Linked DNA regions of Diceros bicornis minor. The protein of the gene in region 2 interacts with the protein of the main gene of each other region in a biochemical or structural test. Links are inferred from orthologs where the notes say so. Each region holds a gene or a part of one and is shown on either strand. Other genes may lie near its edges.

Region 1 (3,747 bases), on a different chromosome or scaffold from region 2:
TACCCCTGAAATTCAATCATTCCAGTCTCTCCTCCTTCTTCCTCTCTCCCTCTCCCTCCCTCCCTCTGTGCATGTGTGTCTGTCTCTCTCTCTCTGCGTACATGTACACACACACACACTGTCTCTCTTTTTCTCTCTCTATCTCTCCTCCTCAAAGATCTTATCCATTCCCACAACCTCGACTGTCAATTCTATATTGAGAACTTCCAAATGTCTAGCTAAGTCTTACTCAAAATGTGGCCCACAGACCAGGATTTCAGAATCAGCAGGCCATGCTTGTGAAAACGCAAATTCTTGGACCCCACCCCAGACCTACAGAATCAACTTCTCTAACGATTCTTAAGCAATGGCTTTTATAAATGTCCGATAATTCATACCTATTATTTCACACTAATTGCATGTTAGGTGATGTTAGGAATTTGAGAGCCTTCATGCTTGTTGATAGCAATATGACAGAAAAATGACGTGGGGTCTAAGAAGGAAGTTTGATTTAAGAATAACAGAAACTATAACCAGGAACAAGATTCTAATAAAGCTGGTAAGATTTCTTAAACCTCTGTAACTGTCCCATATTTATTATTTTTGTTTTCCCTGTCTCCGAATGGTGATTTAGAATACAAATCATTCAAATGTTAAAGAATCTCTGAACTTGTTTTGCTTAACAGCAAAGAAGTAAACTGGAAAGTCAGTATCCTAGTCCACTGTCAGGATAAAATTGAAGATGGTAGCTTTAAAAAGAAAAGGAAAGTAGGAAGATATCTGGAGTCCTCAAGTAGATAGATCTAAGCCAAAAAAGTGATCATGAGGCTTAACAGTCACAAGTCTTCATCCACTTACCACCACCGTATCTTGTATTACAATTCTTTGAGCACTTGTCTTATCTGTCACTAGACTGTGAGTTCCCTGAGGCTATTACACTTCTGAAATCAACCTACTACTTTGCAAAATTCAAAGCCTTATCTAAAGAAATCTAATATTTCTTGAAGTAAAGAGTTTGCCTCCTAATTCTAGCTTTATTCCTGTACCATTATCTCCAATTCCAAATAAGTGAAGTCCAGATTGATAAGGTTTTACTGTACCACCTGGAAGGAATTAATATATCAAAGCTTTAAATCAGCACTAGTTACCTTTGGCAATACAAAATTACAGCAACACATCTGACCACAGCACCTAGTTTCTCCACTCCTTCTAAGATGTACAAAGCACAAGCTATCATTAAGACCAGATGTTTTAGTTGCTTCTAAACTTTCCCTGTCTTCTCATTTCTTATCATCTCAAATAGATGCTTCCTTCTTCAATACCAGGTGAAGAGGTTGAACTGTTTTTTGGGGTAGAGGATGGTTGCAAGCACTGCCCTAGTTGGTGGCCAAACCTTTATTTCAACTCCCTCCCTACCTGTTTTTTATCTCCCAGCCGGTCTCTTATTTCTGGAGCTCACTCTGTTCTCTCATAAAACAATGCTCAAGTGTCTGCAGGGTTAAAATACTTCAAGAATGCTTTTATTAAAACTACAAACCAGAGAAACTTCAGGAAGAGGTGTACATCCCACACTTTTCTATATGCAGCAACAAAGACAAACTGATAAACTCAACATCATGCAGTGATCAACATTTGAATATTTTCTATATATCTCCTCACTAGATGCCTGGGGACATCCAGAGCGTTCCCTAATATTACCCCTTACTCCTCAGTCAGCTTTCTCCCTGTAGCCAGACTATTGATTCAAATTTGCTCACTATCTCTGCCCTCCCCTTCTTTCAAAATATAAGGGCAAAGTATACATTCCGAAATTAATTAAAGGTATTGCTGATTTGAAATGTCTGGAAGTCTCTTCTTCACCTTTAAATAGCAGCGACAGATGACAGGTTTTTCCACTGAGGATTAGGCCTGGGGTTCTCAAGACGTTAGAATGAAGGACTACAATTTCTACACCCCATATCTTGACATGAGTTGACAGTGGCAGCATTTCCTGCCACTATCAGGCTCCACCCAGCCAGCTATGCAATACAACACTAGGTGCTGCGTCCTGGATTCCTACCACCAAGAAAGGTTAGCACTGCGTCTATAGGAAAAATGGCTCTTCCTGTAACCCCGCCTCAGCCCCCACACCAGACCCTCTAATAACATCAGCAGTTCTTTCTACTTCAGGATAGAGACACGCTTGAGCTCGTCAAGACTAATAAATGGCAAAGTCATTATCTTCCGTAGACTTGGCCTGCAGGAGTGTGGGTGATGATTAACTTTTTATTAAGCGGCTTCCTTCCAGATCAATCCATACGACTTCCCCTCCCCAGAGCCTCCATAAGGGGTGAAGTCCCACATCTTCCTGAGCGCGGTAGGGACGGACTTGGGGAGGATGGGAGGAACTTGCCCACAAAGACTTACAGACGCCAGTCGCTGAGGGTTCTGGGGCAACTCCGTGCTGACTTCCATTCTCTCCCTACCCACCGCCTCCTTCTCCGCCATCTTGAGGGAAACTGACGCCCGTAGTTCCAGACCCCCGGCCGGAGACAAGCGGAAACCTGTGACCGGTTCGAGAGACGAGGGGCGACACTTTTACGACGGCCCCTGAAGTCGAGTTTGACGCAGAATCGAAGAGCGGCTTCCGTTCCGCTTCCCGGAAGCAAGCATCACGGCGTGGCGTGTACGGCTGGAGGTTTTCCTTCCCGTAATTTCTTAATCATAGTGCTTGGTGGGTGAGTGGCTGTAAATTCGGTTTCGGTCCTGGGAACCGTTGCGTCTGCGAGGTAAAAAACAAATTCAGCGTCCATTGTGAAAGGAAGAAAATTGTGAGAGGCCAAGGACCTGTACTGGGTCTCCTGGCCCGGTTGTTGGTCTGGGTTTGTTTTGTCTCTCGACGTACCTGCAGTGGCTCCCCAGAGCCCGCAAAATGAAAAAGTACTCAAAGCTCTTCCATCTTTAGGAATGTAGTCTGTGGCCACTTGTACCTGCCACAAGAAAGCTTGAGCCCCAGCGTTTTGGGGGGAGGTGCTGAAGAAATGAAAAATTGGAAACCTTCTAGTCGTTCTTCGGTAGAGGGAAGACAGAATAAATGTGGTACATTTGCATTACGGGACACGATGCAGCTCTTTAAAAAAAACAAGATAGATTTATGTAAAAAGATAAAGATAAATTAATTGAGGGGGGAAAAACAACCAAGTTGCCACAAACTATATATTTGTGCTTACCTACATGTAAATATGAAGGAAACAGCCTGAAAGGGAAGAGAACAAACTAATAATAGTTAGCTCTGAGGACCAAGAGAGGAGGAAGGTGGTCAAGAGCTACGTTAGCTTCATTTATATTGTTTTAAATTGTTTACAAAACAAATGATGTTAAAATATTTTTTTTAACAAAGGGAAAAATAGTAATAAAGCTCATAACACTCTGGAAAGAAATAAACTGTTTGGGAAAAGATTAAGTCAGATCTTCATCTCAAATCATATATCAGAATAATTCCCAATGAATTGATGAGTTAACTACTAAAAAAGAAAGCAAATAAGTAAATATTTCTTTAATATTGGGATGGAGAAGGCTTTTTAAAGCATGACACCAAAAGCAGAAAATATAAAAAGACTGATAAGTAATTTTATCAAAATTAATAACTTACATATAAAATAAACTACACAAAGTTAAAAAGTAAACAAAAACTGGGAAGAAATGTCTACAACATTCATGACAGACTAAAGGATAAAACCCCAAATGAGACTATTCCAATAGGAAAAAGGGCAAAATACATAAATATGC
Region 2 (3,747 bases):
TTTAGCCTTGTAGTTTCTGTAAGATCCCTGATTTCACCTCAGCCTCTTTTCCTAGTTCTTATACATTCACTGTTCTTAAAGAATCACCACACCTATCACCTGTTTTATTTTTCAACTCACCCAAATATAACTGCATTCCACTGCATGATGTTGTTTTCAGATGGTGCACCACTGACACCCACAGGTGGGTCCTCTTGCAATCTAGAAATCCAGAGTAGTAATTTTAAAAGTTGAACATGAAGGCCACTAAGAAGGCCCAACAGAACACCTATGGACTCTATACTATCTACTCTGAGACACACACTAAATCCATTTTCTTGTTCTTGTGCTGAGCTGGAACAAACCATGACTTAAAAAAAAAAAATCGACCAGGTATATACTTATTAAATATCTCTCCAAATTATCTAAAATTCCAAAGGGCTTAGGAATCATCCCTCTTCAAATATCACTGAGTTTAAGATATCTCTTCAAGAACTGAGGTATACAGACTGCCCTCAACCAGAAAAAAGACCCTCGAGTGCAAAAAATATTTTTACAGCACAATCAACTGTGCTGCTATAAACACACAAAGACTGAGCCCTAATCACAGCTACTTGTACAACATGACCACCAAAACAAAAACCGCAAAACAAAAAAAATTCAGTGTAAGTACTCAACGACTGAAAATACTTATATTCAGTTTCATTAGGAAACTGGTTTTAGGTAGGAAAGTTACTTTATCCCACCAGCCTCAATTAGCAATGGCTTTTAAAGTAATCAACGCTTTAGTTAAGCTGCCAACAGCCCCTATTTTAAAGGCTCTGCACTAACACTAAATCCACCTCTTACATGAGGAGACTCAATACAAAGCTACCTTCCGATATTTGTGACAGTGAAATTCTTGTAACCTGAAGACCCTTGGAAAATTACCAGAGGCGCCATGTGTTCAACTCAGAATTAAGGAGAGAATCCCTTAAGAAAGCAGGGTAACAATGGACACAAACTGGAAGTTTCATTACCTGAGTTTCATTCACGGGCGCTAATCTCAAGTCTACTGATTTCAAGCGTTAGAAGATGTTTGCACCAAAGAAGCATCCCCTTTTAAAGACTACCAACTCAGGAAAAAATAAATGCTACATTATACATATAGATATATATGTAGTGACTGTCATGTGATATGCTACTTTGAAATTAGTCCACATAAAAATCGTTCTTTTTAGTCAACCTCAAGTAGATTAGGCCACGATGAACAGAAGCCTTAGAGGAATTACGCTGCCTGACGCCCACGAAGGTAAATGGCTAAGAGAAGTTACAAATATATTCAATGATAAACGGGCCAAGGCCCAAAACAATGGCTTCCAAATGCCTCACCTGCGGCTTTTTAATGGCGAAGTCGAGAGATTACTTCCTGAGCGACTGATATTGTTTTTACATTAGATATTGTGTCTCAACTAGGGAAGGTCTCCCCAGAAAAACATTTAAAATGCGCAGAGGATCGCATTGCTAAGTTTTCTCATTTTATTCCGTACTTCCAGGTATTCAAAGGTAAACAAGTGAAAAAAAGTCACTTCCTCCTCACTAACCCCAACACCTCCTAACAAAACCCTGTTTTACAAAAGGAGGCCCAGGGAGTATCAGGTTAGCGCCAGCCTCAAGGAAGGCATTTTTCCAGACTTTGGAGGCTATAGATAGGGCTTTATACACCAGGCCACAGAGCTGAATTCCAGAAGGTACTGGCAGCCGGGGTTGCCAGCCCGAGGCCCAGGTCTCTAAGCCAGCACTCAAGGTCCTTTCAGGCGGGCGGGGAGAGTCGGGTTTCGGAGGATGGGTTAACCACCTCCAGACCACGCGCTGCAGACCCCACCCTCACTGCGAGGGGGGGGGGGACTTCGCCCCAACCCAGCCCCTCAGAGGAGACCGCAGGGCCATCGAACAAAGCTGACTAGTGCAGCAAGCGGGGAAAAAGCTTCTGCAAGGGCTCGCTCTTACGGGACAGGGAGGGGGCACCGGGGAGGTGGGGGGATGAGGTACAAGCTCTAGGATGAGACGTCGGGCAGCCGGTCCAAGTGGGCAGCAGAGAATCCTAGGACAGCCCAAAGCCATCTTTTTACTTTTGGAGGCGGGGATAGGGTACCGAAATTTTTTACGTCGGAAGAGTGAGCAAGCAAGGATTGAGGGACTGCGGCCGGGAGCTAGGACTGGGCTTCCGTCGGTCCCGCTGGGCCCAAAGCCGGCCCTTAGGGTCAAGAGAGAAAGGTGTCCCGGATCCCCGCCCTGCTGCCCCGCAGCTTTGGGGAGGAGCCGTCAGCCGGGCGAAGATGAGGGCCCTTACCGCTTGAAATCCCGCATGAGCCTCCTCCGGGCCGGGGTCGACATGCTCCCCACCTGCCCCGCGATCAGTCTGAAAAAAAAGAGTCCCGCACAGCCCCCCCCACCCCCCGGCGCGGCGGTCGAATCACTGTGGGTCACCGCCGCTGCCGAGGTTGCACAAACAACCCTGCAATGACGTCTCCCTCCGCCGCCTCCAGATCCCTCCGCCCTTCGCCAGTACCACAGGGTGAGGGGTTGCGGAGGAGCGGGGGAACGTATGAAAGCTCGTTATAGGAGCCTTTCAGCAGGACTCTATATTCATTTTGACTGCCTGAACTAATCAACAAATTAGTGTTCTCCGTTCTCAGACTGGAGGTTGTGGATTAAGAGACACTCAAACCGAAACACCACCGTGTCTCTCCCCCCTTCACTAGTTTAGGCTCGACCGGGTGGGGAGAGAGGAACGCATCCGGGGCCAGAGATTTCAGGGAAAGGAGGTGGGATGACGTAAGATCACGTGACCTATGGCGACGTTGTCAACAATCCACCCCTGAGGGGGAGGGGGCGAAGTATCTAGAACCACGTGTCCCTATGACGCTATTAGAACGGATCACGTGAGAGTGCTGCTCTGGTCTGAGTCTCAGCCAGGTCTATGAAGCCGGTAGTTAATTTTATTGGGCTGAGGGCAGGGATATACCTTTATTAGTTTTCCCTCCAGTTTGTCCCATAAACAGGGACGGCAATCGAAGAGTCGTGGTGGAAGCAAAAGCTTGTTTTGCTGCTTAAGTCTTTAAAAGGGTCCCAAAATAATTTGGATTCAAAATCCTCTTTGGTTGGTTCAATGGCTTATCTGGTGTATGGGGAAGGCAGAATGAAGGGACCTCAGTTTTTGCTAAGTGCAGCATTGAATGCTGAGGCCCGCACAAAGTAAAATCTCCTGAAATGCTTAGTTAGGGCCACCAAATAGCCTGTATGTGCATTACAGTGGGGTTTCCAGGGTTGGAAATTCTGGGCAAAGATAAAAGAACAGTGTACAGATTGTCCAAGATTTGTTCACAGTCCTTATGGAATTATGGAATTTTGTTTTTCCTTTATGGGTCTGCTCTCATTTGAGGATGTGTGGAAAAGTTCATGGATTTGGCCACAATGGGGTACCTTGTATTTGTCAAGAAATGTTGGGATGAGATCTCAAGAGAGCATGTGGATGGGTGGTTGGTTGTCAGAGACACCTAAAAATAGGATTCAAATCTGTGGGAGAGATCAGGCAGATAAAGGTGGGGGTTATATATCTAGCCTGGATAACTCATTTCAGGTTTTCTATGCTAGCAAGTAAGGGGCAAATGGGCCTGAAATGCTCCCCACCAGGGGGCTCAGAGGTGTTGACCCCTGGGGATTCTGTTTCCTTCCCTCTATTGCCTCCAATTCCTGGCCTTAGGGCTTAGCTGGTCAGAAGGACTC
Region 3 (3,747 bases), on a different chromosome or scaffold from region 2:
CAAGTCCAGGGCAATGGGGCAAAGTACTAACTCATTCTGGAGTCTGCTATGTGCCCAGTGTGATCCACCAGCTGTCTTGCCAATTTCTCATGACAAAGCCAGGAGTCTTTATCCCCACTGTACAAAGGAGGAAACCAGCTCAGAGAGGAGAGCCATTTGCCCAGATTGCCCAGGCTAGAGTGACAAAACTAAGGCTGGGAGAAGATATCTGACTGCAAAGCCTGGGCACTTGCTGCTATGCCTTGTGGATCAGCAACTGCCACCAAGATCTGTGTACAGTGCTCCAAAGAGGTCTCCAGCCAGAAGGGGGTGGCCCCACCAGCATCAGCTCCTCCCACCCATATCTCTAGAGCTCAACTCCAGGATTCACAGCTGGAGCCCCCATCTACAACCTAACTCTTCCGCTGAGAACATGGCTGATCTAATCCTTGGGGAATTCTGGCTGCCTTTGGGCTAGAGGCATTGAGGAGGGGATACTGTGAAGATGCAAATTGCGATGGACATCTCTAGGGTGAGGGCACAAAGAACTAACCTCGGCTGTATACTCGTTGACACAGTTCCTCCACTCGGCGCTGTAAGCGGTCTGAGGCCTCTACAACACGGGACACGGCTGCTTTGGAGAACTCCATACGGCCCTGCAGCTGCAGCTCCACCTCCTCACTACTGCTGGCACCCAGCGCCACCACAAAAGCCAAGGCTGGCTCGCTGAGTGGGGGCCGCAGCTGCATTGGCAGGGTCTCTGGGAAGGAAGGACACACTCTCATGAGGATAAAGGCAGCAGTTACCACCACTCTGCACCAAGTTCCAGACCAAGCCCTTCAACACTCTATGGCTCACTGAATCAACACAACCAATGCCTGTAGTACACCGTTATCCCCATCTTGAAAGTGAAACAACTGAGGTTCAGGGAGGTAAAGTAATCTCCTCAAGCCCACAGAGCTCCCAAATCACTTCCTCAGGGAAGTCTTCTCTGCCTCTCCAATCTAAATGAGAACCACACACGTGTACACACACCCTAATTCCCATTCAAGGAGCCCTATACTTTTAACATATGGTTCAAAATCACTTCCTCCCTGGTGGCAAAAACAGTATTTCTTTTTGCTTATTTCTGTCTCCTCCATCTAGAACGGGGCCAGGGAATTCAGGAGCCTAATATCAAAGTCCCCTCCTCTCCAGGACCTTTCCCAGAATTTAATTAAGCTCCCCAGATCCTACGGCTCTGGCCCTACCCGACGTCCCTGGCTCTGTAAGAGGGGTCTCATCACGTGTTGGCCCTTCCTGGGTCCCAGGCGCCTCTGTCCCTGAAGACAGCTCCCCCTGGCTCTCATGGTGTCTGAGAAGAGCTTCCACAGTTTCATCCAGCTGAAGGGAGAAAGCACCAAAAATGTTATGAATCCCTCAGGTGCTTCCCCAGCATGATACTCCTTTCCCAGCAGAGGAGTCTGAGGATTGGCAGCTGGATTAAGGCCAGGTCGTGGCAAGCAGAGGGGCATCCACCTGGGCCCAGTAGCGGTTGACAATGAGGAGTGTGGCATCATCTGTGGCCTGCCGCTTCTCCAGCTTCTCAATTCGTTCTCGGAGTTCATCTTCACAAGCCTGTCGCTGTTCCAACCGCTCTGCTAGTTTCTTGTTCTTGAACTGCAGCACCTTCAGGTCCATCTCCTCCTACCAAGGAAACAAAGAAGCCAAGGACAGGATCAAGCAGGGCCCAAGAAACCAACCAGAGAGAGACAGAGGAAAACAAATGGAATGGATGGGAAAGGGAGACTGCTCCCCAGACTGCTAGCAGGATTTAAAGAGGCTCAGGTACCCACAGAGAAAGCGTCTTGGTTGTGAGGCGGGTCATGTTCTCCTGCCTCTTTCTAACTCTGAAGTCTCTGACAAGTCACACGCGCACTGGGCACCTGTTTTCCTATCTGTAAAGGGAAGGCAGACGTCATGTCCTCGGTTTCCCTCAACAGAGTGTTCTGTAAAGGGGCTCTTGCTAAGCTTGGGGGACTGGGAGTAAGGTTCCGGAAGATTTGGGAGAAGAACAGAGATTGGAGTCTGGCAAGTTGTGAGGGCTGGGGCAGGAGCCCACGAACCGTGGAAGAGATGCCCCCAAGACGAATGGGCTCTATAAGTGTGGTTGTGGTCTTCTCCTCACGGCTGAGCTTCTTCTCTGGGGGCCCCGAGCCCCCGTCGCCGGCGGCGCGTTTGTTGCCGGGCCCAGACATGGCCGCGGCGGCGAGGAGCGGCGCAGCGTCTCCCGAGGGACGTCAGGCAGGCGGAGGCGGCACGTCTGTCACCTGCAGAAGACAGAGCGCACAGATGTGGAAGCAGCCGGTGCTCCGCAACCCCGAGCCTCCCCCGCACACAAACGCTGGGTCCCGCCCCGCCGGCCCCGGGCCCCTCACCGGCAACAAGATCAACCGAGCCCCGCCATCTTGGACTTCACCGGACGTCACCGGCCTCCCCAGCAGAGAGCGCAGGCGCCAGAGGCAGTGCCGGATGTGGCGAACCTCCTTCATTTCCTGTTTCTATTGGTCGCGCTTTGTCCCGCCTCTCGGGTCCGGTCTGGTGTCTTCCTGAACACTTCCTCTTTCGCTCGGTGATTGGCCAGTAAAGGGTTCCCATGGTAACTGATACTACACTTTCACTCCCTAGCCCTGATGACATCGCCTGCCTCCTGTTAGCCACTTTGAAGAAAGGGCAGCGGGACGGGGCTTGCAACTTACTACGCATGCGCACTCTCTTTTCACTGATTGGCAAGCGCTTTACACTTTCACCCTTCCTCCACGAGACTCCTTAGCAACGGTCACCGTTGAGACCGAGGGAGACGCCCCTCGCGCATTGGCTGCCCCTGGCGTCTCTGCAGCATAGATTGGCTGAAGCGTCGTTAAAGGGCCAGGCCTTGGCAGTCGCTGCCCGAGAACCGGCTGTCCCGGAACGGAGGCGGGACCGCGGGAGGAGCGACGAGATGATCCGCCAGAAGTCCAGCCAATTCCTAGGACTCAGAATGCAGTCGGAGCTTGAAGAGCCCTCCGAACAGCGGCGGGAACCCGACAAAAACCTCAGCTCAGTGGATGAATCGGCTACGCGGATGGGAACAGATGTGCGGATCGAGTCGGGGACCGCGGCCTCGGTGGAAGCAGATGATGATCCTGCAGCCAACTTGTTCCCGGTGAGGGCGGGACAGACTGGTCCTCTCATGAATGTTTATAAAAAGGCTCCCCAACAGGGCGTCACCCGTCGTTATGTTTACTAACGTTCGAGACATTTTCCGGGCTGCCTTAGTGAAGAGTCAGGGGTGTGTGAGCCCGATTGTTAATACGCTCATGAATAATATGTAGGTCCTGCTGAAGCCCAGCCCGCCAGCGTTGCTTGTACATAGTCCTTAAATGAGAAGTTAGCTCGTTCTCAGGCCCGCTGGATATTCGCGATGGGCCAGGAACTAGGGGCCAGGGACAACATAGCTCTGCCTTCCCCAATCCGCTTTCTTTCCGCAGCCGCCGCTGCCCCAGCCCCGGATCTGCATGTGGTGAGTGTGAAGAACCTCGGGAGAAAGTTACACTTCACACTTGCATTATTCCTTTAGTGCTTCCCCAACAGTCCTATCAAACAGCCAGGACATCCCCATTTTACAGATAAGGAGACCAAGGCCCAGAGATGCAATTAGCCAAGGGACTAGAAGCCAGCTCTCCTGCCTTCCCACTCCAAAGAGAGTGTGGGAAGAAGGGAGCCAAAGACTGAGGATGTAAGTGGAAT

What was found.
Region 1: the proteins of UBE2B (region 2) and UBR1 form a complex in vitro, tested with the Homo sapiens proteins (2 studies listed by BioGRID and IntAct, with this or other methods). The link is inferred for Diceros bicornis minor from reciprocal best matches to the Homo sapiens genes UBE2B and UBR1.
Region 3: the proteins of UBE2B (region 2) and RNF40 form a complex in vitro, tested with the Homo sapiens proteins (3 studies listed by BioGRID). The link is inferred for Diceros bicornis minor from reciprocal best matches to the Homo sapiens genes UBE2B and RNF40.

Annotation. Positions count from the first base shown.
Region 1 is NC_080744.1:40,574,200-40,577,946, forward strand, and holds the start of UBR1 (E3 ubiquitin-protein ligase UBR1), read right to left. Parts: upstream 2,714-3,747; 5' UTR 2,467-2,713; coding exon 2,386-2,466; intron 1-2,385. UniProt on the Homo sapiens protein: E3 ubiquitin-protein ligase which is a component of the N-end rule pathway. Recognizes and binds proteins bearing specific N-terminal residues that are destabilizing according to the N-end rule, leading to their ubiquitination and subsequent degradation.
Region 2 is NC_080740.1:53,504,583-53,508,329, reverse strand, and holds the start of UBE2B (ubiquitin-conjugating enzyme E2 B), read right to left. Parts: upstream 2,424-3,747; 5' UTR 2,356-2,423; coding exon 2,312-2,355; intron 1,833-2,311; exon of another isoform or gene 1,351-1,832; intron 202-1,350; coding exon 121-201; intron 1-120. UniProt on the Homo sapiens protein: E2 ubiquitin-conjugating enzyme that accepts ubiquitin from the ubiquitin-activating enzyme E1 and transfers it to a E3 ubiquitin-protein ligase. In vitro catalyzes 'Lys-11'-, as well as 'Lys-48'- and 'Lys-63'-linked polyubiquitination.
Region 3 is NC_080765.1:21,217,976-21,221,722, forward strand, and holds the start of RNF40 (E3 ubiquitin-protein ligase BRE1B), read right to left. Parts: upstream 2,861-3,747; 5' UTR 2,397-2,860; intron 2,289-2,396; 5' UTR 2,217-2,288; coding exon 2,085-2,216; intron 2,051-2,084; exon of another isoform or gene 1,815-2,050; intron 1,666-1,814; coding exon 1,498-1,665; intron 1,363-1,497; coding exon 1,230-1,362; intron 740-1,229; coding exon 533-739; intron 1-532. Other genes in the region: CFAP119 (cilia- and flagella-associated protein 119), read left to right, coding at 2,960-3,163, 3,489-3,520.